Linked DNA regions of Macaca fascicularis. The protein of the gene in region 1 interacts with the protein of each later gene in a biochemical or structural test. Links are inferred from orthologs where the notes say so. Each region holds a gene or a part of one and is shown in the gene's direction. Other genes may lie near its edges.

The links.
Region 2: the proteins of DLG1 (region 1) and KCNJ2 form a complex in vitro, tested with the Homo sapiens proteins (2 studies listed by BioGRID and IntAct, with this or other methods). The link is inferred for Macaca fascicularis from reciprocal best matches to the Homo sapiens genes DLG1 and KCNJ2.
Region 3: the proteins of DLG1 (region 1) and CRIPT form a complex in vitro, tested with the Homo sapiens proteins (3 studies listed by BioGRID and IntAct, with this or other methods). The link is inferred for Macaca fascicularis from reciprocal best matches to the Homo sapiens genes DLG1 and CRIPT.
Region 4: the proteins of DLG1 (region 1) and ATP2B4 form a complex in vitro, tested with the Homo sapiens proteins (2 studies listed by BioGRID and IntAct, with this or other methods). The link is inferred for Macaca fascicularis from reciprocal best matches to the Homo sapiens genes DLG1 and ATP2B4.
Region 5: the proteins of DLG1 (region 1) and MAPK12 interact in a test that uses a peptide from one of them, tested with the Homo sapiens proteins (2 studies listed by IntAct, with this or other methods). The link is inferred for Macaca fascicularis from reciprocal best matches to the Homo sapiens genes DLG1 and MAPK12.
Region 6: the proteins of DLG1 (region 1) and FRMPD4 interact in a test that uses a peptide from one of them, tested with the Homo sapiens proteins (2 studies listed by IntAct, with this or other methods). The link is inferred for Macaca fascicularis from reciprocal best matches to the Homo sapiens genes DLG1 and FRMPD4.
Region 7: the proteins of DLG1 (region 1) and MTMR1 interact in a test that uses a peptide from one of them, tested with the Homo sapiens proteins (2 studies listed by IntAct, with this or other methods). The link is inferred for Macaca fascicularis from reciprocal best matches to the Homo sapiens genes DLG1 and MTMR1.

Annotation. Positions count from the first base shown.
Region 1 is NC_088376.1:2,497,477-2,501,424, reverse strand, and holds part of DLG1 (disks large homolog 1), read left to right. Parts: coding exon 1-97; intron 98-357; coding exon 358-530; intron 531-3,948. UniProt on the Homo sapiens protein: Essential multidomain scaffolding protein required for normal development. Recruits channels, receptors and signaling molecules to discrete plasma membrane domains in polarized cells.
Region 2 is NC_088390.1:76,476,683-76,480,630, forward strand, and holds part of KCNJ2 (inward rectifier potassium channel 2), read left to right. Parts: coding exon 1-1,195; 3' UTR 1,196-3,948.
Region 3 is NC_088387.1:75,424,816-75,429,292, reverse strand, and holds the start of CRIPT (cysteine-rich PDZ-binding protein), read left to right. Parts: upstream 1-1,533; 5' UTR 1,534-1,620; coding exon 1,621-1,636; intron 1,637-3,103; coding exon 3,104-3,169; intron 3,170-3,962; coding exon 3,963-4,017; intron 4,018-4,477. UniProt on the Homo sapiens protein: As a component of the minor spliceosome, involved in the splicing of U12-type introns in pre-mRNAs. Involved in the cytoskeletal anchoring of DLG4 in excitatory synapses.
Region 4 is NC_088375.1:61,453,514-61,458,232, forward strand, and holds the start of ATP2B4 (plasma membrane calcium-transporting ATPase 4), read left to right. Parts: upstream 1-1,856; 5' UTR 1,857-2,280; intron 2,281-2,983; exon of another isoform or gene 2,984-3,128; intron 3,129-4,719. UniProt on the Homo sapiens protein: Calcium/calmodulin-regulated and magnesium-dependent enzyme that catalyzes the hydrolysis of ATP coupled with the transport of calcium out of the cell. By regulating sperm cell calcium homeostasis, may play a role in sperm motility.
Region 5 is NC_088384.1:1,294,558-1,299,159, forward strand, and holds the start of MAPK12 (mitogen-activated protein kinase 12), read left to right. Parts: upstream 1-1,664; 5' UTR 1,665-1,832; coding exon 1,833-1,957; intron 1,958-2,036; coding exon 2,037-2,166; intron 2,167-4,602. UniProt on the Homo sapiens protein: Serine/threonine kinase which acts as an essential component of the MAP kinase signal transduction pathway.
Region 6 is NC_088395.1:12,477,388-12,481,335, forward strand, and holds part of FRMPD4 (FERM and PDZ domain-containing protein 4), read left to right. Parts: intron 1-1,482; coding exon 1,483-1,609; intron 1,610-3,948. UniProt on the Homo sapiens protein: Positive regulator of dendritic spine morphogenesis and density. Required for the maintenance of excitatory synaptic transmission. Binds phosphatidylinositol 4,5-bisphosphate.
Region 7 is NC_088395.1:156,756,719-156,761,127, forward strand, and holds the start of MTMR1 (phosphatidylinositol-3-phosphate phosphatase MTMR1), read left to right. Parts: upstream 1-1,504; 5' UTR 1,505-1,637; coding exon 1,638-1,789; intron 1,790-4,409. UniProt on the Homo sapiens protein: Lipid phosphatase that specifically dephosphorylates the D-3 position of phosphatidylinositol 3-phosphate, generating phosphatidylinositol. Could also dephosphorylate phosphatidylinositol 3,5-bisphosphate to produce phosphatidylinositol 5-phosphate.

The DNA of each region.
Region 1 (3,948 bases):
TACACTCGGCCAGTGATCATACTGGGACCCATGAAAGACCGGATCAATGACGACTTGATCTCAGAATTTCCCGACAAATTTGGATCCTGTGTCCCTCGTGAGTAAACCAGACAAAAACATTTCATTGTTACTCTTAACAATGCCTGTCACTGTGTGTGGGAAAAATAGGTAGAACCATTTTTTAACGGTTTGTACCTATTTTATCAGTTACTCTTCCATCCTCCATATTGTTGTCCTTTCTCAGATTTAAATTAATCTGTTGAACTTTACAAAACAATGATATAAGTAGAAAATGGATTTATTGTGGGTTTTTTTTTTTTAATATTAAACACTTCCCCAAGTTTTTTTCTGTTAAAGATACAACTAGACCAAAACGAGATTATGAGGTAGACGGAAGAGATTATCATTTTGTGACTTCAAGAGAGCAGATGGAAAAAGATATCCAGGAACATAAATTCATTGAAGCTGGCCAGTATAACAATCATCTATATGGAACAAGTGTTCAATCTGTGCGAGAAGTAGCAGAAAAGGTAAGCATCAGACTAGTCCCAGAATATAGCTGCTAATCAGATATGCCTTTGACAGTATGAAAGAGTGGTAGGATAGATACAGCATTAATTAGTTTTATTAACGTAATGAATTTGCTTACCTACATGATTAATTTTTGGTGGCTCAGGAAAGTGCATACAAGATAAAACAGGTAAATAAGGTAGACAAAGAAAGTGAAAATAGGAATGGTAACATGAATGTAAGAGGAGAAGTTATTTTAAGGTCATTTGCTAGAGATAGACCTTTGTTTAACCCTAACCCTCCAGCATATATTATAAGGAGATAAGGGCCAGGTATGGCAGCACACCCTTATAGTCCTAGCTACTAAGAAGGCTGAGTTGAGAGGATCACTTAAGCCTGGGAATTTGAGGCTGCAGCGAGCTATGATCATGCCACTGAACTCCAGCCTGGGCAACAGAACAAGACCCTGGCTCTTAAAAAAAAAAAAAGAAAAGAAAAGAAAAAATCAATAAATCTAACCACTTAAAATTTTTAAAAACTTTTTTTATGGCCAAAGAACTTTTCCAAAAACTATTAGAAAACACCATTAACAATGTCAAAAGACAACTGACAGAAAAAATTTGCAAGAAGAAAAGGGCTAATATTCCCAATATATAAAGAACTCATAAAAACAGGGAATAGAGACCAGAAACCCAATAGGGAAAAAAAAAATGGACAAAAGATGAGAATACATAGTTCACACAAAAATAAGATATAAAAATGGCCTTTGTACATAGGATATGATATCCAACCATTTCAAATGAATAACTACATTGAAGAGGGGAGAAGGGAGAAGTCTTAATCCCAGAGATTCTTTAACACAAGCTGAAGACAGAAAGATCTGTAAACAAAATAAAATTCTAATCAGTAGGTTTGTTGGGTGGAGTGTATGGTCTTACAGTTCTGAAACTAATATATATTCTAGGGTTGAGCAAATAAACTAATGTAATGACAGTAGTGGGAGTGAGGTTTGACTGTCAGAAAAAGGGAGAGGATAAAATGAACTCTGATAATTGGATTGGAGATATTAGATAATTAGAGCTATGAATATGAACCCATGAATTGTAATAGAGTAGATCTAGAAAGATGTGTATTTACATATACACACACGTATGCTTATTTGCTCTATCCACTAAGAAGACCTAAAAATAACCCTGAATAAGCCATGAGAATATCTGGTGCCCAGGTCTTGGCTTCTAAATATAATTCGTTAATTGAAAGATTCAGGACTCCTTAGAGAAATGGCTGATTCTGGGGCCAGGACTGGAAAAGTGCAAGATGAGCCTGTAACATTTTTGCTGCCAGAAAAACAAGGGAGCAGTCCACGAGTGATGAGGGTGTGTAAAAAGGCAAGGAACCAAGCTGTGGGGTCCCCCACTGGCCAAGTCTGAGATAATTTGAATATCAAGATAAATGATAATCACAGATTATAATATATAGAGTAAAATTAAAATCCTAGACTCCATAATGAAATAAACACAGATGGCCCCCAACTTAGAATGGTTCAGCTTTACAGAGGCGCAAAAGTGATGCATATTCAGTAGCAGCCATACTTCAAGTACCCATACGGCCTTTCTGTTTTTCACTTGTAGTACAGGACTCAATGAATTACATGAAAAATGCAACACTTAATTATAAAACAGGTATGTTGGATGATTTTGTCTGACTGTAGAGTAAGTGTTCTGAGCACATTTAAGGTAATCTAGGCTAAGCTATGATGTTTAGTAGGGTAGGTATATTAAACGCATTTTCAATTTATAGTATTTTCAACTTGGGTTTATTGGGACGTAACTCCCATCATAAGTCAAGGAGCATCTGTATATGAGTAAATAAGTGGATAGAAGGGAACACTTTGGACTGTCTACTAATCAAGGTAGAAGAAATGATTAGAAAATATTGAAAACTGCATGGTAATAATTGTTTCAGGCAAAAACCATCAGTGTATTCTAAAATTAGTGAACATTTGATGAAAAATGGGATATCTATATAGTCTCAAAGTGTCCTCCCCCAAAATACTTATCAGTTACAAAGGCAAAAGTAATAATTTTACAGTGGAGAAACCTAGCAGATAAAACCTTAAACAAGTGATCAAAATTAGCATCACTACCAGTGGGACAAATAGATATAATATCACCTCCCAGATATGATGGACTGAGAAGGACACACATTATATCTGTGGTATTCCTGCCAAAAATGTGTAACCTGCCATCCGAGAGTGAGGAAACACACAAACCCAGGTTGAGGCATATTCTATGACATAATATTTTATACTCTTCAAAAACATCAAGATCAAGAAAGACCAAGACTGAGGAATTGTGTCAGATTGATGGAGACTAAGGAGGCTTTACAGCTAACCACAGTGTGTGATCCTATGATCCTGAATTGGATCCTGGACCAGGAAATTTTTTTTTTCTTTTCCAATAAGGAACATTAGATGGCCACTTGGAATCATATTGTGATTATATAAGAGATGCCATTGTTTTTAAGAAATATGAGGTAAAGGAGCATTATGCAGTTTTTTCTCAAACTATTATGTACATACATAGAAAGAGCTAAAGCAAACATAGAATATTAATATTTCAGTATCAAGTTACTAAAATGTTTAAGCGATAATGTAAAATATTTATATCTGATAAAAGATAATGGATACATAGTGTCTGTTATTTACTTTTCTATATGTTTGGAGTATTTTACAGTATTAAATTTGTTATTTTAAGTGTGCCCACCAAATTGAAATTATCATGTATTGACTTGGACTCAAGTCCTTGGGTTAGAAGTTGCATTATGGGGCCAAGTGTGGTGGCTCACACCTATAATCCGAGCACTTTGGGAGGCCGAGGTGGGTGGATCACTTGAGGTCGCAAATTTGAGACCAGCCTGACCAACATGGTGAAACCCCATCTGTACAAAAAACACAAAAATTAGCTGGGTGTGGTGGCGCACACCTGTTATTCCAGCTACTGGGGAGGCTGAAGCAGGAGAATTACTCGAACCCAAGAAGCGGAAGTTGGAATAAGCCGAGATCGTGCCACTGCACTCAAGTCTGGGTGACAGAACAAGACTTCGTCTCAAAAACAAACAAAAAACTGAAGTTGCGTTATGGGGGAGGGCCTGATTTCAAATGCATTAGAAGCAAATCTGTCATAAATAATAACTACTACTCTGCTTACCATGGAAATGCCCATCTGTATTAAAAACCTAAGTATCCTTTGTCAGTGAGTTTAAGCCTGTCAGAAAAGTTGTCATTTAAATCCAGAATTGGGTCCCATATGCTAGTTTATGAGTTTTTGTCTGTCCCTAGTAAAATGAGAAATAGAAGGATTGAGTAGTGGTAATGAGGTTTCACACATTTGTTTATTTAAAAGGTTTGCCCTTACTCTAGGATTTTTTATCTTTTAT
Region 2 (3,948 bases), on another chromosome or scaffold:
TGGGAACGGGAAGAGTAAAGTCCACACCCGACAACAGTGCAGGAGCCGCTTTGTGAAGAAAGATGGTCACTGTAACGTTCAGTTCATCAATGTGGGTGAGAAGGGGCAACGGTACCTCGCAGACATCTTCACCACATGTGTGGACATTCGCTGGCGGTGGATGCTGGTTATCTTCTGCCTGGCTTTCGTCCTGTCATGGCTGTTTTTTGGCTGTGTGTTTTGGTTGATAGCTCTGCTCCATGGGGACCTGGATGCATCCAAAGAGGGCAAAGCTTGTGTGTCCGAAGTCAACAGCTTCACGGCTGCCTTCCTCTTCTCCATTGAGACCCAGACAACCATAGGCTATGGTTTCAGGTGTGTCACGGATGAATGCCCAATTGCTGTTTTCATGGTGGTGTTCCAGTCAATCGTGGGCTGCATCATTGATGCTTTCATCATTGGTGCAGTCATGGCCAAGATGGCAAAGCCAAAGAAGAGAAACGAGACTCTCGTCTTCAGTCACAATGCTGTGATTGCCATGAGAGATGGCAAGCTGTGTTTGATGTGGCGAGTGGGCAATCTTCGGAAAAGCCACTTGGTGGAAGCTCATGTCCGAGCACAGCTCCTCAAATCCAGAATCACTTCTGAAGGGGAGTATATCCCTCTGGATCAAATAGACATCAATGTTGGGTTTGACAGTGGAATCGATCGTATATTTCTGGTGTCCCCAATCACTATAGTCCATGAAATAGACGAAGACAGTCCTTTATATGATTTGAGTAAACAGGACATTGACAATGCAGACTTTGAAATCGTGGTCATACTGGAAGGCATGGTGGAAGCCACTGCCATGACGACACAGTGCCGTAGCTCTTATCTAGCAAATGAAATCCTGTGGGGCCACCGCTATGAGCCTGTGCTCTTTGAAGAGAAGCACTACTACAAAGTGGACTATTCCAGGTTCCACAAAACTTACGAAGTCCCCAACACTCCCCTTTGCAGTGCAAGAGACTTAGCAGAAAAGAAATACATCCTCTCAAATGCGAATTCATTTTGCTATGAAAATGAAGTTGCCCTCACAAGCAAAGAGGAAGATGACAGTGAAAACGGAGTTCCAGAAAGCACTAGTACGGACACGCCCCCTGACATAGACCTTCACAACCAGGCAAGTGTACCTCTAGAGCCCAGGCCCTTACGGCGAGAGTCGGAGATATGACTGACTGATTCCTCCTCTGGAATAGTTACTTTACAACACGGTCTGTTGGTCAGAGGCCCAAAACAGTTATACAGATGACGGTACTGGTCAAGATGGGTCAAGCAAGCGGCCACAAGGGACTGAGGCAAGCACAATGGTTTCAAAGAAAGACTGTAAGCTCCATGATTAGCATAAAGCACTAACCATGCCTCCATTGTGACCCAATGGCACATAGATGTTGTAGAATAAGTTATGGGTTTTTATGTTTTGTTTTGTGTTTTTCCAAAACTTGAACTTGCAGGCAAGCCTTGGTTGGGTATTTGATTTATCCAGAATGCTTCTCTTTAGGGAACAAGGATGTTTTTAATGGCATAACAAAGGCAAGACTCTGCCTTAATTTTTGAAAAGCTGCTAACTACATGAACACAAATGTGTATTTTTGTTGCAGTGTAGTTTTCCTTCTGTGTAATTTTAAAGTCAGTGTTGAACTTGATTGAAAGCTCATGATGCGCTTCAAAGTGGCAAGTATTTGGCTATCAACTGCCAAAACAAGAGCCTGATTTTTTGAGGCCAGTAATTTGTTTGCTAGAATTGATTTTTTTTTCTCTCTCTCTTTGTTACATAAGGGCATTATGTAACACTAGCCAAATGGTAGCCTCTGGGTTGTTGTTGTTTTTTTTTTCCTCCATGATGTTAATGGGTTATCTCAAATTTTAAGTTAAACTACCTAAAATAAATACCAAAGATAATGCATATTTTTGCACAGTGGAGCTTACACTTAAAAGAAAACAAAGCCCCATGGGCTGCCTTGAAATCAAGAGACAATAACTTTGAACCTCAGCAAGACCTTGAACCGCCGGTTCATTTTGCACCTTATTCAGAAAATAGAGCATCATACTCACCGAGTCTAGTCAGTGTAGTGCTTTTTAAAATTTTGTCCTTTCATGTAACTTTTTTTATTTTAAGAGGAAGAAGAAGAAAGGGGCAGTAAAATTCACATACACACAATACCAACATCCATCCTTTCCTGCTAGGCAGTGCTGGCCAGGCTCATGTGTAGTGTGCGAGATGGTGATGTACTCTTACATGTTTCTGGGCCTTCCCTTTTGCACATTCCAAAATTCATTTCATAAGATCTTCATAGGACCTCCTTGGCATCCTGGCATTCTCAAAACTGAGCCATCCAGCATGAAAGATAAATGGGTGTAAACCCTTGCTGCTGAATTTATTGCCTGGACTGTCAGGACATCGCCAGCCCACCTTCACCTTAGAGGAGATGCCACACCTGGCCTCCACGCTTGTTCCTCTGATCAGTCTGTCTGGAGTGAGTCCTACAGTGTCAGATAGGGCGGTGAATGCCAAAGCGGGGAAACGGGGAGGTGTGGACAAACCAATCTGATGCAGCACTTCAGATCAAGTATTTAGGAGGAAGAGGAAACTTGCCTTTTTTATGGCAGAGGAGAGTAATGAAAATGTCTCAGTATTTTAGGGTCAAAGAGAGTCATAAAAATACAACATAATGACAAGTAAAGGAGATAATGGTCTAAAAAGGCTATTTCCCTTTTCTGTGTGCATACTTATGATTGAATGTGAGCTAAGCATTGTCTCCTGTGGAGCCCTAGAGCAGGTTACTAAGGAAGGACACATTGTTTTCCAGAAGCCTCCCCTGCCTGGCTGACTGCCTTGCTAGACACATTTTTTTTTTTTTTTCTCACTGTAGCTCAATAATGGAACTCTTTTTTTGGTTTTTTTTTTTGTTTTGTTTTGTTTTTAATTTAAAATTCCCTATTTGTGAATTCTGGGGTTACTGACTTTTCTTTTTAATTGGAGTCTCAAAATCAACTCTCTTATGGTATTATATCTCTGTATGCCATTAAAAAACAGCTTGTTCTAGAATCACATATTTTGTAAATTGATGTTTGTGATGGTCTCTGGTTCTTGAACAGCCATATCTGAATGCCGTGCCTGCAAAACTATGACAATTTTTGCTGTTTTCAGCCTTCAGATTTGATGGCTTTGAAAACTGAGGTGTTATTTTCAATGAAACCGAGAAAGAGATGTTAAGCAAGTGGTTGTTTTAGATCCAAATGTTAAGGCAGGTTTGGGAAGGTGTTTAAAGAGTTGGAGGAATTGGGGATTGAGTGGACAAGAAAACTTACAGAAGAGGCAACAATTTGGTTCTTGACAGTGAGAGGATATTGAGGGCTTCAGCTGCTGCTATTATGATGTTTTGCAAAGGAAAATAATCAAACCAAAGAGTATTCAGTGATATGTAAATTAAATGAAGATACAGTGGAGAATGGGGGTGGCCACAAAAGAGGCTCCCCCTAAACACAGAGTGCTGCCACTTAAAAAGACTTGAGAAATTTGAAAGGGGGTGGGTGTGGGGGGGGGCAAGAAAGAGGGAGGGAAATCTTTCAACTTATTTCTGAAAAAGAGAAAAAAATATAAAATTTCTGGTGCACAGGTTTGTTTTTTCAAGAAAATTTTGCAGAAGCTATGTTTTTAAAGTGTACATTTTATAAAGTTTATCAGATATTTTCATATTTAAAGCCAAATGTAAATAGAGGTCTGTAAAGAAAAATAATTGCCATAGAAAGTATAATGTCAGTGCAGCAATGTCTGAGAGCTAGTACCTATATGCTACGGGTTAGCATGGTTTTAGCAAATATATACCAGCCTTATAAGGTTCGTATTGCTATGTTCTTCTGTTATTTATTTCAGCATGGACTGTTCATTTGAAACCTTTTTCTAGTTATTAGCATTTTAACAGT
Region 3 (4,477 bases), on another chromosome or scaffold:
CGAATACTCAAATGGTGGCCAGTGGAATCAAGAGTTCAAAGAGCACCACACTAAACTAAGGGATCTCGATGCTTCAGAAACACCAAGATGACAACGTCTGTTACAGGTGTTAAATTCCAACCAAAAGTAGAGCACGAATGGAAGGAGGGAAAACAAATTACTCATCTCTACAATACACGTATTTAAATTACCTGAGAGTTAATTGTACTGTTAAACAAGGACTTTATTAATTTAAAGTAACAGTCAATATGTTACACTATGGAGAATATTCCAGAAAATAGAAATATCTCAGAAAAAAATACTACACACACACACACACACACACACACACACACACACGTGGGCGCGCGCGCGCGCGGAGGGGCGCCCGCTAGTGTGAAAAGCAGAAGGGCGAACCTGGGCCTTATCCTAATAGCTCTCATTTAATTCACCCAGTGCTTTTCAAAGGCAGATATTTTACTGATAAGGAAACAAGGCAAACAGGTGAGGTGGTCCAAGGTCCCACGCGCTACAGCTCTCTCTCTGGTATAAGGAAATACACTAGGCATGAAGAAGCAAACGGATGGCAAGAAGGGACAATGGTAAACTTTCCCATAGATTCTCTTAAGCTGATTGAGGGAGGGCAAGGGGATCAGGAATCCATTCTCTCAACAGATAGCCCTTCAGCCATTTTTCTGAGCCACCCTCGGAATCGCAGCTGCCATCAGATGTGGATGTAATACAGTGAGCAGTTACCAAACTCAACCGTTTGCTGAGTGAATGAAGGAACCAGAGTAGGCAAAGTGGGAAACCAACTCTCCTGGGAAACCAGCACCGTGTTAGGCCCTGGCGTGCCCCCAGGGCGCCTGCAGGGGTGCCACGGGCATGACGCGGCCCACCTTCCCCAGGCACCGCAGCGGAGAGAAGGCTCTTCAGAGCGGCCCCCAGAGGAGCCTTCACGGGCATCGCCGCACCTCCACCGGCAGCTCCACCCCAACCCTGGTCGCTGGGAATTCTGCCCGACCCTAGGCCGGCGCGAGCGTGGGCAGCGAGGAACCAGCTGAGAAGCAGGATCAAAGAGCTCGGGAGTTGGAGACAAAGAAAAACTGGGGGACAGAGGCAAAAACTCGGATCCGAAAGGGGGTCTGTCCATCAGGGCACGCCGGAAGAGTGGCGCTCGAGCTGACGGCGAGAGCTGGCGGGCCGGGGCGCCGAGGCTCAGGGCTGCTTCGGCAATTCGCGGGGGTGACTTGCACCCCGGGAGGCGAGAGCGCCTGGGAAGTCCAGCGAGGCTTACCTAACTTTCCCGCCCGCGGAAGGGAAGCGGGGAACTACTGCCTCCCACCATCAGGTACGACAGGAGGCCCAGGCCCACGCGCAGACGCAGGGTTGTGGGGCGGACACCCACGGCCGAACAGCCAGTCGCAGAAAGGGAGGGGCGGGCAAATGGGGCAGCCCCACCTAGCCGCTCGCGTTCATTCCTCCCGCGGCTTTCCAGGTTTGGGGTAGGCGGGAGCGGTGGGCTTAGAAGCCGGAAGTGGATTGACGTAGCCCGGAAGGGGAATACTTCCCAGTTACAGTGTTGATGTTTTCAGGCTCCTGCTGCTCCTGTTGCGGCTAGGGGAACTGTCGTGGGGAAGGATGGTGTGCGAAAAATGTGAGTTAAGGGGCTGCTTCTGCGGGAGGAGGAGGCTGGGATAATCTAACTGAGCCCTCCCGGGAACTTTGCCTTCTCTTTGTTTTTTTCGCCCACAGGTCTCTGATTCTAGCCGCTGTCTTTCTACCCTACCCTTTGACCATTTTTGCACCTCCCCAACGACCATACAGTCCTATGTATTTTGTACTCAGAATGGTCTCAGTTCTGCACCTCCCTCTCTATTTCCATTGCCTTCCCCCAGCCCCAGATCTCATCGGCTCCCCTCCCATATAAAAATGTTCAGTTAAACCCCAGCGACACCTTTCCCTCTTGGCAATTCCTGTCCTTTCCTTTTTATTCGTGTAACAAGTATTGTACTCCTGCCAAATGTTAGACACTGGAACCAAAGACTTAGGACTTTGCCTTATTCATTCTCATTAGTCATTATGCCAGGATATGGCGTAGAGTAAACCCAGAGATGTTTGAATTGAACATCAACGTAAGTGCAAATTATTATTTCCCTAATTTAAATCCTTTAATAAACTCTCAGTGTGCAGAGAATAATTTGGGGATTCTATATTTGGAACCTGACGTTCAGTACCCTCCACACTAAGGCGCTAACTTATTTTTCCAGCTTCATTTTCACTGACCCTCATCCTCTTCACACTTTGACCAAACAAAATACTCTTTGTGCCCATGTGTACTCTAAGCTTTCTATGCCTTTCCTCAGAATGTGTCCTTTATCTAGTTTGCGTTCATCCTCTTTACTCCTTTTTGTTCACAGTCCTGTTGCCACATATTCAAATCCTCTCTCTTGCCTTCTCTCCAAACTTTGTTTTCTTGGATTTCCTTAGCCAGGGTTATTTTTTCCTGCCTGGAATTTCTCCTAGTACTTTAGTTCTCAATTATTATATCTTTTATTTTTTAGCTTACATTTTGGTTGAATGGTTCTTTTTGGGGAGACGGTCTGTGATCCCTCTGAGAATCTGATGAAAACTGTAGCCTCTTGCCAGGAAAAAAAACTGAAAATATAAAAGGTTTGTGTACAACTCCACCTTGTTCACATATCTCTTAAGATCCACCTGGGGAACCCAGGTTACAGATTGCTGTTAAAGAAATTAGTATACTATAATCTCATTAAAATTTTGTCTGATTCATCACTTTTTCTCAGCACTTTCTATAGTTTATACATCATAGATGCTTAGTAAATATTTATGGAACAAATAGACTTATTGGATTTTTTAAAAGTATAAACAAACAGTGAAAGCTTATTATAAGCCATCTTATTATCCTGCGAATTTTACCGACGGTCAGTCATTCATTGCCCACAGTTAATATGAGTCTCAGTTGACTGGCTGCTTTCTCAGCATTAACAGGCTCCTATGGTAATAGCATTGATAGTCGATACCATTGTGAGCCTTAGGCACAATGTAATGCACTTATGAAATAGTAAATTTTAATTTTCCTTTTACTATCTTGTTCTAACAGGTGAAAAGAAACTTGGTACTGTTATCACTCCAGATACATGGAAAGATGGTGCTAGGAATACCACAGGTATTTCTTCTTTTAGAAAATAGGAATTTAACCAAATACTTACTGTGAATTATATTTTAGCTTTTACATTATTTGTACAATGAAATGTTGTATGTTCAAAGTATTTTATCTATTAAATATTAAAGAATACTGGGTCCCCAAGTGATTTAATATCTTTTATTTAGTTCTCAGTTACTTGTATGGGTTCCCAATATCAGGAGATAGCAAAATTATTAAATGATTGTCAAGTGGTGACAATATCACAGTATTTGATTATCACAATATTTGATTTGATTCAGCTTATTTAGAGTCTGTTTTTAATTTCCCCACTCTTCTGAGGAGAAATTTTTTTAAATCTTCTGATTTTTATATTCTTGAATAAATAAATGCTTTAACCCATTTTACCTTCATTATCATTAAATCTTTATAATGAAGTATTTACCTTCATTATTATTAAATACATATAGTAAAGTATGTTTTCAAAGCGTAGACAAATAAACATTTTCATTATATTGAAGGTCTATGACACTGAAGTAGTGGCTTCTAGATTTTACACTATATAGAGTAAATATAGACCCATTCCTAAAGTACTCCCTTGAGTCTGAGAAATAAAATGATTGTATTTTATACAAATTTTTACTGTTTCCCTAATAAATGTTTTCTTTTTAAGCAGTGTCTTAATAGCCTACTAAATGAGGATTTAAAAATTAGATACAGACTACTATTTTGGTAGAAAGTCAAAGAATGAACTTCTTAATGTTTTATGTTAAATGTATAGAAATAACCCACTAAAATATCTTTTATTCTGATACAGAAAGTGGTGGGAGAAAGCTGAATGAAAATAAAGCTTTGACTTCAAAAAAAGCAAGGTGGGTAAGAGCATCCATAGACAGATCATATAAATTTCCTTTCTTTTAGTATTAAGTCTGCTGGAGTGAATTTGATGTGCATCATTCCATTTGCAATAAAACATAAAGGTAGGTGGTTCATAGCACTCAGAACCAAGCTATCTGTTACAATCCTGCTGGTTTTACCTTATTCCTCCTTGGCTGTATCAATATATGAAGATATTAGTGTTATTCTCTTACAGTTTCACCAGAAAACATGACTTGTATTTTATCTCCTTCTTAATTATCCTATGAATCAGAGACAGCAGGGAAATGTGGAAAGATGGTAAGCTTTGGAGTCAAACCTGAATTTGAGTCTAGACCCACTGTCTAGCCTTATGACCTTAAGCAAGTTAAGCAAGTTTCTTGACCTTTCTAAACTTTACTTTTTCCTGAGAATTGGGGTAAAAATGTCTCCCATCTTAAAAACAAGTTTTTGATA
Region 4 (4,719 bases), on another chromosome or scaffold:
TGACCCTAGCCAGGGTTATTTTGGATTGTGTTTTCAGATGATAGCAGGCAATCTCCAGCCTCACATTGAGGAACTCTGAGTTCTGAGCCCAGCCCAACCAGTCTAAAAACATTACTGGCTGGGTGCAGTGGCTCACGCCTGTAATCCCAGCACTTTGGGAGGCCGAGGCGGGCAGATCACGAGGTCAGGAGATCGAGACCATCCTGGCTAACACGGTGAAACCCCGTCTCTACTAAAAATACAAAAACAAAATTAGCCAGGCGTGGAGGCAGGCGCCTGTAGTCCCAGCTACTCGGGAGGCTGAGGCAGGAGAATGGCGTGAACCCGGGAGGCGGAGGTTGCAGTGAGCCGAGATCACGCCACTGCACTCCAGCCTGGGCCACACAGCAAGACTCCATCTCAAAAAAAAAGAAAAAAGAAATAGCAGGGTAAGAAAATGAAGAGGAAAAAGAGGACCCAAATGAGAGAACATTGGGAAGGGTGCTAATTGGACACAGGGGAAACTGAACCCCTGGGTCTAATTCACAACTCTGTTTCTCCATGTGCGTGTGGCTCTGCTTCTTGGGGGCAGGGATGACAGCAAAGAAGGACAGGGGTGGTGTGAGGTGTTGGGTTAGAATGATAGGATCAAAGAGGCCTTTTCCCAACCCTCTGTTTAAAAGGTTGGGAAGTAGTGGCCAGTCACCTTCTTCACAGCATAGCTCATAGCTATAACCTGTGAGATATATGTCAACACGCCTTCCACAAGCATATAAACATGAGTGTGTTTGCTGAGGTAGGTGTGGGAATCTGTCAGTCAATGAAGATATGTTGTTGTGTGAACTAGCTGATGGTGCATGTTTGTGCTTGAAAGCCATAAAGTTCTATGCAAAATCTATGGGTGGCACTGTTGCACAATGCTAGTGGGTGTGTGGGTATGGGGGTGTGATTAACAGTTTACAGGCTGTGTATAAGTGTGCAGGGATGTCTGAGTGTGTCCAAATTAAAACAGAAATGTGTGCCAGAGTATGATACAAGTACAGGAAAGTACTTGGGCTTTGGAGTCCGTCTGACTTGGCCTTGAATTGTTGGCTCTGTCATGAACCAGATGTATAACCTTGGGCCAGACACTCAATCTTCAATTTCCTCAGCTAGGAAATGAGGCTAATAACAAGTACCTTTCAAAATTGCCATAAGGACTAGAAATGATATCGTATAGACAAAGCTTTTGGTGTCATAGCCTACGCATAGCAGGACTCAAAAGTAGGCAGCTATTTTCATGCACTGTCAGTATACCTCTGGTGGGTACAGGGGCAAGAGGGAACAAAATGTGACCTGTATATAAGGTGTCGGGGAGGAGGTGTGTGTGTGTGTGTGTGTGTGTGTGTGTGTGTGTGTGTGTGTTTACAAAACAATTTATTCTCCTTCTCCAAGGAACCCCCTATTCAGACAGGAGCAGGAAGGTGGGAGGGGACATACAAGTGTCCACAGACACCTTGGGTTTCTGGGTCCTGGATCTAAGTGAGTAAGGGGTTGAGAGGCCCATGGGAGCTGCAGGAAGCCAACCGCCTGCCGAAGCTTCCTTTTTTTTCCCCTCCGCCCAGCAACCGTTGAATACCGCCACCCACATCCACTCCCCACCTCCACCCTCACCCCTCCTCCACCCCACTCAGCTTTCTATTCAACAAGTGAGAGCAAGGGTGGAGAAGAAAGCCGACAGGGGAGAGGATTCCTTCCCTTTCTTTCCCCATTCCCCCTTAAGACGAACCAGGAAGCAACCGCAGGAATCGGGCCACCTTAACAGTAGAGTAATGGTTTGGCCTCATGCCAAGTCCCACCTCTGTTCCAGCTCCTGCTCCTCCCCTCTCTCTTCCCGCACTGCTTGGGGAGAGCTGGTGAGCAGGAGTCTGGCCCGAGTTAGCTAGAGCTGTTGCCATGACAAGCATTTTCTTAAGAAAGCTCTGCTGTTGAGATTGTCCAACGCTGGGGGCTGGGAGGGGGGCACGAACTTCCTGGGCAACCATCCCTCTGAAGAGAGCAAGATCAGAGACACCCGTCCAGCTCTCCTGCACCCTTTTTCTTTCAGGAACCTGAGAGGTCCTTCCCATTGGAAGGGCAGGGGGAGGAGACCCAGCCCACTCCCCGGCCTTAGCCGGAAAGGCAAGAGAGCAAAGCCAGCGTCTCCAGCTTGGTTGCCACACTGGGGAGACTGGTGGGTGGTCACTCCACCCTACCCCCATCCATGGAAACCCGGAGGGAGAGTCCCACTTGGAGAAACCTGGATCTTTGCTAGAAAGAGAGGTAGGCTTGCAGAGAATGAATTGACTTGTGATTTGCAAACTTTGTTTCTTTCTTTTCTCTCAGTGGCTTCTAAAACTCCCCGATTTTCCTCTTTCTAGCATATTTCATGCGACTGGGTTTGGAGGATTTTTAAAAATATGTGTGTGTGCACAGATTTGTCAAATACTGTTTTCTGAGAAACTGTATAGTCAAATAAGTGATTTATCTCTCTTTTTTTAGTTCTTGTCATTCCTGTGCTATGGGGTAGGGGAATGGAGGGACTCTCTTTTTGACACCAAAATTGAACTCTTGGAAAAAACATTTATCTCCCCTCCCTCAACCCATTCCATTCCTGCCCTCCCCTTCCCCCTTGGCTTGGGAATGAGACGCAGGATGGAAAACTGTTGCAAAAATATTTTCCGTGTCTGTTCCCTTTCTCAAAAGCCCAAAAGAGAGATGGGAAAAAAAAAAAAAAAGGAACTAAAGAAATCTTCGGCAGGAAAGGGGGGCTGCAGCGGGAACTAGGAGAGGGGCACTTTGGGGCCATGGGGTAGAGGTGGGCTGGGAGAAGTTGGGAGGAGTGGGGGAAGGAGAGTGCACAAATTAAATTTCTTTAGCTTTGCAGAGAAACCTAAGCAGTTTCTCTGTGTTGCTTGCAAAACATCCTCAGACTTTCACATCTATAATTAGCTGTGGAAAAAGCTGGGAGTTCCCTCGTACCGCTGTTGTTTGAGAGTGTGTGAGCGTCCAGAACCAACTGTATGAGTGTCTCCGAGGGCACCGCCCCACACATCTCTGGTCCCAAAGGGGAGGAAGGAGAAGGGTGAATTGAAAAGTTTCCGATTTCAAGGCTGGAGACTGTGGGGCTGGTGAGTGTTTGGCAGACGGGGTGGGCCACAGGCATCTGTGGAAGGGTCCCTGAGCATCTTGGGTCATTTCCTTGGTTTGCTGAAGAGCTAGGAATTAAGAATGGGATTGTCCTTCCTGCTCTCCTTTCTCTCTTTCTCTTACGTACTTGGTTCGCTCTTGGTAGAGGGGGCTGCTGGCATCCTTCCCCGAGTCACGTCTGGCCTCATACACTCCTCCACCTCCCTGAGGGTACCCGCCGCTCTTCTCCAACTGGGTGTGGAGGGTGCAGGAGTGGCCAGCCACATCTTGGGAGGGGAGTGGGCACTCTGCTGGCCAGAGGCACCTCCCTCCTGGGCATTCCTGCCGGACTTACAATAACTTGCAGACATGATGCCGGCGCCTGCTGGCCGGGCAGGGGGAATGTCAGATGAAGCAATAGGCCGGCATTCAACTGAGGCCCCTGTGGGGAGGGGAAAGGAGTTGGGGAGGGAAGGGAAACAAAATCCCATTCTGTAGTGCTCCCTCCTCTGGGTGAGGAGTCTGGCAGGGAGTCTAGAGACCCTCGCCCTGCTCCTTAAGCCCCTCCCCAAGCTGCCCTTTCTCCAGGGCTTCTCATTGGAGGCCCTCCTGTGCCCCCTTCACTCTGGGCCCTCTACCTGGAGGAAGGAGACCAAGCTTATTCCAGGCTGGGCCAGGCCCAGGAAAGGAGCCTGGGGGTGAGGAGGGGCTGGGCCAGGAGCGTTTAGGAAGAAGGGGACGGAAAGAGGCCTCCTAGCCCATGAGCTGAGTTACCCTCCTTGGCTGAGGGTGGTGGCTTGGGGAGCAGACTCCGGGAGGGGCAGGAAGGATGGTGGCAGCTTGGTAAGCCGTGTTCTGGAAGGTGGGCCCTAAACCCTGAAGCAGACAGATCTGTGGGAATCAGGCTGGGGGAGAGGAAACACCTGCCTTCAGCCCCAGGGCTTGGAGGAGTGGTAAAGGCTACAGCTGAGAAACTGGGGGAGAAGGAAGCAAAACACTTAGAGGAGAGCTCATCTCGGGGCTGAGGAAGCAACAGGAACCGATTTTCATTTTGAGGTGTTAATTGATCTGACTGCACCCCATTGGCTAGACTCTTCCCTACCTGTATTCTGGTCGGTAAGGGAATGAGGCCTTCCCCAGTGGGCAGGGGCCCCAAGACAGAGAATCAATGCCGGTGTTCTGGAGGGAGGGGATCCATTTCTTTGCTCCTCCTCGGGAGTCCCATCCTCCCTGCCACCATCTTGCTGAGGTGCAACCCCGAAAATCACGCCGCTTCCGCCGCGGCCTCCCGTCGTGGGGGCCCAGAGTGTCACTATTCCTGCAGCCGGCCTTCCTATTTTCAGTAATCTGATTAGGGGTAGATGTTGACGGGCTCAGGGACTGTTTCTCCGTGAGGTCGTTATTTAGCGCGCACCGGGTTGCCTGCTCCCGCGGCTTTGAGCCTGGGGTCGCTGCCAAAGCGGGGAATCGGCTCCCGCAGTCTCAGCCCTTCCCCCGGGGCTCGGGGCGGGATCGACTGCGCAACCCCGCGGCCCCTCTGCTTTCCGCGGCCTCTGCGACCCCGCCCCGCCAGCCTCTCCGCTGCTGGGCTCC
Region 5 (4,602 bases), on another chromosome or scaffold:
TGGGGGGAAGTTGGGTGTCAAGGGAGCAAGGGTCTGCCCATCCCTGGGCGGGGGCTGGGTGGGCTAGGGAAAATAGCTTTCCTTTCCTTCCTGGTGAAGGAAAAAGAGGCCACTTTAACCCAGAGAATGTGTGTGCTGGTCCCGTTCCCACTATGCTCTGCAGCTTACGTGTGGGGGAGGGGCCAGACCATTTGGGGTCAGGCAGTGTCTCTAGGGGCCAGGGACAGTCTGTGCCCTTGCTTGGGTCTTGGGTAGGGGTGGAAACTGTCTGGGAGTTGGGGGCCCTCCTGGGGCCTCATCAGTGTAGTGGTCAGTCCTGGGGGAAGTCCAGTGTTGGCGGTTGGGGGTGGGAGCAGAATGGGGACACAGCCCCACCTCAGAAGCCTGGTCTGTGCGGGGCCTTCTGGACCCCTGAGCTCCACCACGGGGAGTTAAGGGGGACAGCAGTGGCAGCTGGGCTTCCTGAAAGAGGTAGATGGAGTGCCACAGGCAGCCCAGGGCACAAAGGGTGCAGGCCACAGGCAGCTGTGGTTTGGGCAGCCCCGGGCTGCCCCTGCTCACTGGGCACGAGCTGATGAATGCCACGGAACACAGCCCAAAGCCCAGGTGTAAAGCTCCTCCCGCCCTTGAGCGGCTGAGCTGCTGATTCATGGCCGGAGGGCGGGGCAGAGGGCCCTAGCGATCCTGTTACCCACCAGCCCAGTGGGCTCCCGGGGTGCACCCACATCCCTCCTCAGACCCAGGTTTCTGGACTGTGGAGGGGGTGTCAGGGTGGGGCTTGGCCCACCAGAGCATCTGGTCTAGGATGGGGCCAGACATATGGGAGGATAACGCCCACACAGAGGGGTCAGGCTGAGGGCCCCAGCAGGTCCCCATCCCTGCTGGAGACAGTGCAGCCACCCTCAGCCTGGGTTTTGCAGGACAGGACAGGCAGGGATGGGACGGGCAGGGGCACCAGCACTTGCAACACTTGCAGCAGTCACCCCGCAGATGGGGGGAGCAGGGGGAGGAGTTGGGTGTCCAAAAGGGCCCTCGGGTACCTATGGGACTGAGAGGCCCGGGGTCAGTGGCCACAGGGGTGGGGTTGGGGATGCAGCCTGAGGATTTTGGGAGACAGACCCCTCCGTGTAGAAAGAGGGATACAGGCAAGACAGGTGCAGATGGACCCCCCATTCGGGGATGGATGGATCAGGCGCAGAGGTAGGGCATCCTTGGGGGTGGCGTGGGAAGTTGACTCTAGGTACACAGGGCTCAGCCCAACTTGGGACTGCCGATAGAAGTCAGCGCTCAGGCTGTCAAGGATGGGCCCTGCGCCCTGGAACCATGGGCAGTCAGGACTGGAGCCCAGGGTCTCCGCAGGAGCTCCCCACTCTCCCGGCTCCACCCCCAGAGCGGGGCAGTTCAGCCAAAGGGGAGAGGCTGACGGGGGTATCTCCGCGCCGCGTCCGGCCCTAGGTCGGGACAAAGCTGCGGGGCGGCGCTCCCCTCCCCCTGCGCTTCCCCCCAGGCTCCGGCCCTCCCCCGGCGGCGGCCGCCTCGGGTTTCCGGAGGGGCCGGAGGGCGGGCGAGGGCGTCACGTGCGCGCCGCCCGCGGGCCGGTTGGTCCCCGGGCGGGGGAGGGGCCGTGCGCTGCCTGGGTCGGGGTCGGGCCAGGGTCGGCACCTGGGACATCCCCGAGGGAAGGGCCGGGAACAGGAGCGTCCCAGCGGCGGGCGGGCGAGCAGCGCAGAGTCGGCCCGGGGCGCACGCCGAGGAAGCCCCGCCGATCCCAGGTCCCCGGTCCTGGGGCACCGCCCGCGGGCTCTGCGGGGTGGGCGGCTCCCGGGCCTGCCATGAGCTCTCCGCCGCCTGCCCGCAGTGGCTTTTACCGCCAGGAGGTGACTAAGACGGCCTGGGAGGTGCGCGCCGTGTACCGGGACCTGCAGCCCGTGGGCTCGGGCGCCTATGGCGCGGTGTGGTGAGCGCGGGGCGGCCGGCGGGGCGGGCGGGGCCTGCGCGGGGTGCCCGGCCTTCCCGCTAAGCGGTCCGCCCCGCAGCTCGGCCGTGGACAGCCGCACCGGCGCTAAGGTGGCCATCAAGAAGCTGTACCGGCCCTTCCAGTCGGAGCTGTTCGCCAAGCGCGCCTACCGCGAGCTGCGCCTGCTCAAGCACATGCGCCACGAGAACGTGAGTCGCGCGACCCCGCTCCGGGAAGGCGCCCCGGCCTCGGCTGGGTTCGGCTGGGCTGGGTCCCTCCACCCGGCAACTCCTTCCCCAGGCAACCTGCTGTGGGGCGGGGCGGGGGTCGGGCCGTGGGCCCCCAGGGGAGAAGGAGAGCAAGGAGACGACTCCCCCAAGGGCCATTCCCCCTCCTCTGCCAGGCCCGGGAAAGAGCCCCTTGACTTGGCGTCTCAGCCAGGCCCTGGTCAGGGGACACGACTTGGCCAGGCCCAGGGGATCCTCCAGGTCTCACGCCAAACCCTGCCCCCAGCCAGGAAGCCCGCGGTGAGAGGATGCTCCCGGCAGGAGGATTTTCCTGGAAGGGGCACCTTCTCTTTCCCATCCGGGCCCCTCTCCAGCCCCTCTGTGGAGCCCACTTTGTTGCTGTCCATCTCCCTAGTCTTCCGACCCGGTGGAGGGGGAGGAGGGGGGCGCCAGAACGTAGGGAGTATGGTGAACCCTGGGGGTGAGTGAAGGGTTCAGGGAGCTGCTGTTTGGGGGGCACTGGGCGTGGTGGTCATCTCACAGACACCCTCCCTTTCGTTGTGGGGGCCCATCCTTTCCAGTCCTGCCTGTGAGATGCCATGCACAGCTGCCCTGGGCCTCTCCCACGGCGTGGCTGGCTGCGAAGAGCCTGACTTCTCTGCCAGGGGCCCTCTGGTTTCTGGACACAGTCCCACTTGTCCACTGCCCCCCATGTCACTCCTGCCCTGCCCCTGGTCTGGGCCCAGCCTGAAGGCAGGTGGTCTGGGCACCCGGACCCTAGCTCCAGTGTGAGATGCTCTGGACCCTCCTGGGTCATCCGAGCCACCGGTGCCCTGGGAGAATGAGTCCCTGCGTCCACCAGCAAACCACCTGCCCCCTGGTTCCTGGCCACCGCCACTCTCTCAGCCCCTTGGGTGGGTCCTTTTCTCTGAGGCTTCCCATAGCCCACCCTGACCCCAGCTCACCACCCCGGGCCCTGTGAAATCTGTTTGCAGTGGACACCAACCTTGCCCCCACCTCGACACCCCCGTCACACCCGGCCCTGCCCCCACCTTGCCACCACTGCACTCCCCCATCCCGCCCGTCACACCAAGACCTTGCCCCAGGACTGTAGCCTTCCCCTCGGCCCCCTGCCCCCACCCACCCACTCACTCACCTGCTTGGGCCTTGCCCCATCCAGCCAAGCGCTCTGGGGCTTTTCTTTCTTCTTTTTTTTTTTTTCTTTTGAGATGGAGTTTCGCTCTTGTTGCCCAGGCTGGAGTGCAATGGCATGATCTCGGCTCACCACAATCTTTGCCTCCTGGGTTCAAGTGATTCTCCTGCCTCAGCCTCCTGAGTAGCTGGGATTACAGGTCCATGCCACCATGCCTGGCTAATGCTTTGTATTTTTAGTAGAGACGGTGTTTCATTATTTTGGGCAGACTGGTCTCAAACCCCTGACCTCAAGTGATCCGCCTGCCTCGGCCTCCCAAAGTGCTGAGATTACAGGCCTGAACCACCGCGCCCGTCCACTGGGGCTTCTCTTTTTTGAGATGGGGTCTCCCTCTGTCGCCTAGGCTGGAGTGCAATGGCGCGATCTGCGACCTCCACCTCCTGGGTTCACACAATTCTCCTGCCTCAGCCTCTCTAGTAGCTGTGACTCTAGGCACCCACCACCACACCCGGCTAACTTTTTGTATTTTTAGTAGAGACGGAGTTTCACTATGTTGGCCAGGCTGGTCTTGAACTCCTGACCTCGTGATCCGCCTGCCTTCGCCTCCCAAATTGCTGGGAGTGCAGCCGTGACCCACCGCGCTGGGCTTTTCTTTAGCCACCGCCCTGCTGTCCTGGGGTCCCCGCTGTGCCTGGGGGTCCACCCCCTGGGCTCCCGGCCTGCAGCTGAGGCTCCTTCCCTGGAACCCCATCTTCCTGGAAGACTGAAGCTCTGTGAGGCCACATGCCTTGCTCAGCGGGGGAGGAGGCTCTGCCACAGGCCCCAGTCCTGCCATCCCCATGCCACCTCCCTCTCCAGGCCAGCCCCCACACCACAGAGGCCAAGTCAAGTCCTATGGCCCCTAGCCCACAGGACACTGCTTTCCATCTTCTGCCAAAGCGCTCTCCTGGGCACCCTCCAGCTGTCGTGTCCACAGACCCCACTGCTCCCAGGCCTCCCTGGACGGGCCTCTGTTCCTTCTCCTCCTCCCTCCACATTCTTGCCCACGGCTCTGGCAGAGCTGTCCTTCCAGTTTAGGTCCATTCTTGCTTCACTCTGGCCAGTCCCTACACCACGGCCAGCAGGACGCGTTTAGCATCACACCCGTTTAAATCCTTCCCTTTCTCTTGGGATCAAAGCCAAACTTTCACCTGGTGTGTGCTGCCCTGCCGGCTCCCTCTGGCCTCTCCTCAGCCCCTCCCTGGCCTGGGCCTTGGCCACCTGGC
Region 6 (3,948 bases), on another chromosome or scaffold:
GACTCGGCTCACAAAGAGATCTTGTGCTCAGCTGGACACACTCACACCCTCCTCCACTCTCCTTTCTAAAGTTCTTGGGGACAGGTGAAACTGGCTGCCATTTGAAAAGGTGGCCTGCACAACCTGAGATGATTTTCAGACAATTAAAATGCATTTATTTTCCTACTTTCTGTACCCACATTTTACCAGGTTGAACATTGTACAGTCAAAAATGTCTCAGAGATATCCGGCTTGAGTAAAAATCCTGAAAAGTCTATAATAATGTTCTCATTCATAAATTCCTTTGACCAACAAATATTCATTGAGCATTTTATATAGCACTCACATTAGGACAGTAGAAAATACTAATATGTATGAATTCTATTCCTGGCCATTGAGGAACTTGTGCTCTGATTGTAAAAACAAGATAAAAAGACAAGAAAAGTAATTATTTAAAACAATGATACAAGTAGGATTACAAGATAGCCCATAAGTAGTGCCAAATGATGGCTAAAGACAATAAGTACAAGTTGAGAAGGAAGAAAACATAATCATGAAATATACCATTCTTAACTAGTGAAGAATATGAATGGTCAAGTGGTGGAGGTAGGTTGTCTTCCTACCCTTCTTTGGAGAGGACCTGGAACAGGAGAAGTAACTGGAATCCTCTTGAAGGTCTTCACATAATTTAGAAGACACTGGTTAGACACATAACCTAGGGTAGGATTTCTATTCCAGGATAGATTTCCTAGAATTCAAAATATGGGACCTTCTAAGAAAGGAGTTGTAATCATTTCTGGGGAAATTGGCTCTTTGTAAAAATGTATTAACTCAGCCCCATTTGTTGTCATTTTGTTGTACATCCATACCCATGAATGATGCCAGCATCTCCAGATCAATACCGGGCACACTTAAGAGTCATGAATCACACCCAATTCCACACCACCAGCAAGAAATGTTGATGGAAGGAGTTAGACATGAACTGGCTAGGACAAAAGAATTGTGTGTGCCTAGAGAAATAGCCATGGAGGAGGGGAGGGACAGGGAAGAATGGTTTGGGGACATGAAGGACTTGCATCCATTCTTCTAAGAGAAGAGAGAAAGAATGTGAGCAGACAGGGAGACTGGAGAATAGAAATCAACAAAGGGATGGAGAGAAAATGGTGTTGGAAATACAAACTCGGATACGTCAGTGACTTTGAAGAGATTCAGAATTTGGTTGGACAAAATGTCTCTTCACTTTACATTGGCTCCAAATGCCTCCTTAGCATTGTCTCTATAGAGTGAGGAATAGATTTCTTTTTAAATGCAAACATACGTATTAATGATCAAGTAGTGTGTGTCCTGAGTGCAAACTAAAAGTTACTTCCTTAATTGGGGACTTGTCTCCATTCTCTGCCTTACCAAGGGTTCATTTGTTCCAACAAACATCAGAGCACCATTTTGTCTTAGATAACTCATCATCACAAGAATGTGAAATTAAAGATATGCTCTTTATTGCAGAAAAGAATGGGGATTAGAGACTTTTCTTCCCTCTGCTGTGCTGCAAAGCATGAAAGAGAAGAACATAAAGAAAGCACTTTCACACCTTGTCAAAGCAAATCAGAACTTGGTACCACCGGGTAAAAAGGTATCACATTTGCATCTTAATAGAAAATTATAAAGAGAGAGGCTTGAATGCATTTTTTTAAATGTTTAAAATTAGCTCATGAATAAAATACTTAGTACCATATTTTCAGAAGCAGTAACACTGTGTAACTTTTTTCTAACTATTAACATATTTCTAACACTAATGAAAAATAAGTATTCATACAGAAACCTATTTATTTCTCACAAGTTATGGACTCCGTACTGTAGGGGGGAGGTGTGTGTTCATGTGCCCATCCAGGAAAAGTTTGCATAGCCTCTGAGAACTTGTGAATAGAAGATAGAATCGTGAAATAATTCTATGTTTCAATCATGCAATTGCTTACTGCTCAGACCAGCTTAAATGCACAACAGCCAGCAAGAGGCCCTGCAGGCCAGAGATCACATTCATTAAACCAGGGATCCTCAACTGTGGCATAATTGACATTTGAGAACAGATCATCCTTTGTTAGGGAGTTACGGGGAACATCCTGTGTATTGTGGGATATTTAGCAGCATCCCTGGTCTCTACCCACAAGATGCTGGTAGCACCCTCCCATGATCGTGACAAACAAAAATGTCTCCAGACATTGCCAAATGGGCTCCAGGGAACAAAATCACCCCTATTGACAAACATTGGATTCAAACCTACCTTTAGAGGGAAGATAAAATTATTGCTGTCATTCACCATCATTAGTGTTAAAATCTTTTTATGCTTTTGTTTTGTTTTCATTAAGTAAAAGAAACACAAAGGAAATTTTAAAATATACTGTTGGTCAGAAAAGAGAGGTATAGTTTATAGGTAATAAAAAGCAAAAGATTCTAGGAACCAGAAAGAGAAGGAGCCTTAAAATACTGGATCTATAAAATTGGACGCAGTCTTCTAACTGAAGAACACTTTCCAATTGATATTAGCTGGAGAAATTTGTGTGACTCTAATACAAATCACTGTTTACATGGAGAATTATTTTGTCTTAGTGTCTGATTTTTTTAAGTCATTTTTACTGGGTAAGGCACATTTATTTCTATCCCCTCCACACCCCATGACGGTTTTTTTTGTTTGTTTTGTTTGTTTGTTTGTTTTTTAAGTATAATCAGGTTCACCACACTATCAGCCACCTTTAACTCACTTCCCAATTTCATGGGAAGGGTGTCTTTGATCACAGTTGAGCATTCAGCTTACAGAGATGTAGCAAAACAATGCGGGTCAAGTTCTTAACTTCAGTTCTGATTTGCTGGAAGCTGATTTCTCTAATTGACTTGTGATTTTTCTTCCAAGCCTGGCCCACTCATAATAATTTGGATAACTGCTATAAGATCAATCAATCTATCCATTTATCCATCACTGTCCTTTAAAGGTTGTTTTTCTAGCCAAGAGTGAATAGTTTGCTTTCAAAACAATTTGCAAATGCTTTGCTTTTTTTAAAGAAGTAGGATGGATGAATGGTGCTAAGTAACAATTATATAAAGAGCAGTTCCTTCAGGTATAGTTAACAAATAAGCTGGCAAGTCATCTGCAATTGAAAATAGAATTTTATGGTCATTGCCACTTAATGGTGATCTACACCTTGTTGGAAAATTTCAACCTTAATAAAAAATCCCTGGCACATTCAGTATGAAACATTGACCTTTTTTTTTTTTTTTAAATCAAATACTCTTTTTAGTGATATGGGAACCTACATTTTTTAAGTCTTTGTAAAGATAACTTTCATCTGGATAAAATTTCATTTATAAATCATTCGTGAAACTCAACAGATTTTCCAAGTTGAATTAATAAAACTGAGCCTTATATAGCAAGTTCAAACATGTCCACAATGATTGGATCTCAGAAAGTTCATTTCCCCCGAAAACTTGCAAGGACTGGAAGAAACTTGAGAGGGGAAGTGTAAAGGGCCTGTTTAGAAGGCTTTGCCTAGATTGCAGGTGCGTATTCAAAATGATTCCCACAAAGTCTACATTCAGGTGAGTCTCTTGTGCAATGGGAATATATGTGGACACCTCACCTTTGTCCCTAATTGCAAGTAGAAGGCTCCTCTCACTTCTTGAAATCTCCCAGCGAGCAGATGTTCAATGGAACATTTTATGGTCTTGTTCTCACTTGTTGAGTGCCCGGCCCAGCATATCTATACCCATGAGTGCCCCATACATTGACCCTCTAATGAATAAGATGTGAATCTTGATTTTATGTTCCAGTCCTTCATCAGGAAACCAAATATGTAGCAATTCTATTCCTAATGAAGAGTCTTTGTCACATCTCAACTTTTCAGCAGTAAAATCATCCTTCTATCTTAGCCTTGTTTTCTGCTGGTCTCCAGCTGAAATGGAGTCATACCCAATAGAGTT
Region 7 (4,409 bases), on another chromosome or scaffold:
GGCTGCCAAAACAAAATACCATAGACTGGGTGGCTTAAACAACAGAAATTTATTTTCTCACAACTCTGGAGGCTGGAAAGTCCAAGATTAAGGGTCCAGCAGGGACCTAGTAAGGGCTCTGTTCCTGGCTTGCAGATGGCCACCTTCTTGCTGTGTACTCACACGGCCTTTTCTCAGTGTGCGCATGAGTGCATGACATCAAGCTCTCTGGTGACCCTTCTTAAAAAGCACCAGTTCCATCAGACTAGAGCTTGGCCCTCATGACCTAATTGCCTCTCAAAGACCCCATCTCCAAACACCATCACACAGGGAGTTAGGGCTTCAACATATGGACTTCAGGGGGATGAAAACATTCAGTCCGTAACAGTGGGCTAACCGTTTGATTTAATAATTTTAGAAAGCCAGCAACCTGCAGTAGGTGATTCTCCAGTGGGAGATAGGAGGTATTATTGTCTGGGGATCTTCCTTTCCTTCCTCCTAGCCCTCCTCACTCTGTCATCTTCTTAACCCAGGCTCACCTCCTCTTGTGAGTAAGATGGCTGTTGGGGCTTCAGGCATCATATCCTCAAAGTTCAGTTTGAAGTTATTAAGCTGGTAGGGCAGGATGGGTCTGGGATGGGCATGAGTAACTCCCTGTCTGCAGGTCTGCCTTTTAACAGTGAGCGAATTGTTCCCTTTATATCTCCTTTGCCAGACCTGGGTCATAGGACTCCTGTCTACACCCAGAGCAATCACAGGCAAAGAGGCTTAATCATGAGCCACACACCCATTTCCAACTTAATCGGGGTGAGGTGAGAGGGGATGAGCTGTTGGATATTCGAACCCACACAAAATGAGCAAGGAAATAAATCTAGCCCAGAAAGCCAATGTCCTAAACGCCTCACCAAGATATTGGCTTGATTTTCATAGCAGTGATTTTTAATCAACAGAAGTTAAATGTTGGTCTTAACATAAACCATGGGCGGAAGCTCCGAGGGCGGCATCAGAACACTTGGTTGCCCTACAGATGGCAAGGAGGTGGGTTTGTGGCGGCGGGGTGGGGGGGAGGGCGCGGGAGAATGGAGGGAAGAATGGGGTGGGGAGGAATTGCTATAATGCACGGAATTGCTCGTGCTTCAAGATGTCAAGACCGAAGGAGCTTGAGCTGTCCTATACCTTTTCTGGGAAGGACAACTGAGGGGGGGAATCATTTTTAATACCTGAATGTCTTCAAACTTCTTTTTACACCCCACGTCTCTGCAGTCAACCCGGTGTAACTACAGAGCGAAGCACGCTACGCATAATCCGTTTGGGGATTCCGAACCCCAGTGGCTCTGTACGCACCCAGGTCGCTGGAACAGGAGGTCCCAGACCCCCGCTCCAAGGCTTCGCGGGCGAGCGCCCAGGTGGGGCTGGGCGAGGTGGGGGTTCCCGGCGCCGACCTCGCGCACCGCCCTCCCCGCCCCCGCTCCCGCCCCCCGACCCCCGCGCGCGCGGCCTTGTGGGTAACGCGGGGCCGCCAGGTGACAGCTAATGGCGGCGGCCGCCTGAGGCGGGCGGGCGGTAGAGCAGGCGGCAGGAGGCCAGCGGCGAAACCTTCCCGGCCGCCGCTCCTGTCCCGACGGCGGCTTCCCCAAGGCGGCAGGACTCGGCGCGCCATGGACAGGCCGGCGGCGGCGGCAGTGGCGGCGGCGGGCTGCGAGGGCGGCGGGGGCCCGAACCCGGGGCCGGCGGGCGGCAGGAGGCCTCCTCGGGCCGCGGGGGGCGCCGCCGCCGGCTCCCGGCAGCCCAGCGTGGAGACCCTGGACAGGTAAGCGGGGCCCCGGGCCGCCCCGGCCTCTCGCGCCCCGCTCCCGAGTGCCCCGCGCGAGGCCTGCCCGCCCCCTCCCCGGGCGCCGCGCAGGGCCTGGCCGAGGCGGGGTGGGCTGCCCCTCTTCATCCATCCCCTCCGGCCTCTCCTCCCCCAAACCCCCGGAAACCTCAGCGCCCCATCCGGGGGCTGCCGCCCTCGGACCTGCTGCGGGCCGCGCACCTGGCTCACTTCCGCCCCGAGAGCCCCAGCTCCTGGATCCCCGGGAGGGGCTTCGCAGCTGTCAAACCACTTCCCGCGCCGCCACCTGCTGCCCTTGGCGACCGCTTGGCTGTCCCTGCCCAGGTCACCAATCCTCTTGGGAGGGAGATCCCAGCCGGGCTCTCCTCTTTTAGCATCACCTTGCTTCGTGTGGTTTTAAGACCCCAATTCCGCTGTGGCTGCTTGGGGTCTTTGATGGGGGATTGGGAGTAGGGACGGGGAGATGGGACCCCGCGGGCGTGGGAGCTGGTGCAGATCGAGGCAAAAATCCGAGATGGAAAACGTCCAAACTGCTCAGGAAGCAAGAAAACAGAACGGTTTACTTTCAGTTCTTCACACTTTGAGGGAACCAGTTTATTGTTTTCATGAACACACAGGCAAGCCTACTGCTACTGAGGCAGCTGCAGAACTAAGAGAAATCAGAAACATAAAGTGACCGTGTCTAGCTGGGAGGGGCCACCCCATCCTCCGACGACAAGGGATGGCCTATCCTGTAACCCGGAACATCCAGTTTTCCCACAACTTGGCCATGTCTCTGACACCAGAGTGCACTCAGGCAGCATGCACTGCTGTAATGTAACTGAGTCAGTTTTACATGCCCATTCTTGCCTGTCCTGGTCATACCATTGTGCCAAACTTTTGGGAGTTTCCAAAAGCGCAGAAACAAGAAACATTCCCTTCACCTTTGTTTCTACCTCAGTGTAATTACAATATATTTTAATAAATTACCCAAGTGGTTAGTGTCACTGAAAACCAGTCACAGCTAAGACAACACTTGAAATGGTGAGGACTCCACACATCTGCAAATATTCAACCATACACGAGGTCTGGGCGATTCAGAGAATAGCACAACACGGCTTTTGCTGTCTTACCATTTTGCTAGGCTTACCATCTAGTGGAGAATACAAACCAACCAACAGTGGAAATCGAATGTGATAAATGAGATAGGTGGTAGAGGCGAACACAGAAGTACTCAGGATGGGCATGCATCAGAATCATTTAAGGAGCCAAAGGAGACCAGAATGTGTCACCCCCAAATATGCCTCATCTTCTGGTTTCCTTCAGAGATTTTGATGATCAGGGAAAGCCTGAGAAAGGTGACATTTGAGTAATGCCCCCTAAGAGGCGAGGGATCCAGCCATACAGATACCTGGGGTCAGTGATAGTATTCTATTCAGAGGCCTGTGCAAAGCCCTTGAGGTGAGTGTGAGCCAAGTGTTCCTAGATCAGCAAGGAGACTAGGTGTCACTAGCAAGGAAGGAGCTAGAGACAAGTAAGGGATGACGTTAGAGAAGTCACAGAGCCAGATGGTGGAGAGCCTCAGAGACCATGGGGAGTCATTGGGGACTTTGTGCAGAGGAGTGACATAATCTGTTGTAGATTTCAGTAGGCTCTCCATGGTGCTATGTGGACAATAGAGTGAAAGGGGAAGGAGTTGAAGCGGAGACTGGCAGTAGGAGGCTATCGTAGTAAGCCAAGTGAGATGGTGGCTCAGGCCAGAGTGGAGCGGAGGAGGGGAGAAGTGGTCAGATTCTAGATGTAATTTGAAGGCCTGCAGGGTAGAGCCAATGGGGTTTGCTGAAGAGTGGTTGTTTGGTATGAGAGAAGAATCTGGGAGAGTTCCAGAACTTTAGCTTGTGGGAAAATTGTGTTGCTGAGATGGAGAAGTCTCTCTAAGATGGAGCAGGGTTAGAAAATAGCAGGCTCTTCGCTCTGGACATATTAATTTTGAGATGCCAATTATATGTCCCAGAATAGATGTCAAAGATATAGTTGTTCTATCTGAGCCTGGAGTTCGGGGTTGTCTGAGCTGGAGATTCAAAGTGGGGAGTCATGGGCTTATAGGTGAGGCTTAAATACATGAGGCACGTGGAGTTCACAGAAGAATTGATGAGGGTCTGGAAAGGAGAGTTGGACTAGGAATAGGGCTGGGTGGATTTTCAAGATACTTACCAGGTAAGAGTGACCCGACATGGTGACCATTCAGATGTGAGGGGGGAATGCTGGGTGGGCTTCAAGACAAACCTCAGCTTTCTAGCATGTGGGGGAAGGGTAACTGGCTGTGCTGCACCCTGAGTTAGGAAACACAGGAGCGGAGTAGGTTGTGGGGCTGAGCGGCTGATGCTGGTTTAGACAGGTTGAATTAGCAGGGTCTCTGGGCCAAACTAGTGGACGTGTCTTGTAGGAACATCAGCATTGAGATCAGGAGAGTCTAGTTTGGAGAAACAGAGCTGGGAGCCTCCAGCCTGTAAGTAGTTACTGGCACCAGGAGTATAGAGGGCAATTGCACAGACTACAGAGAAGGGGTGGGGGAGGAATCATGGCCTCCTTTCTCAGTTCTGTCATCTCAACAAGCTCA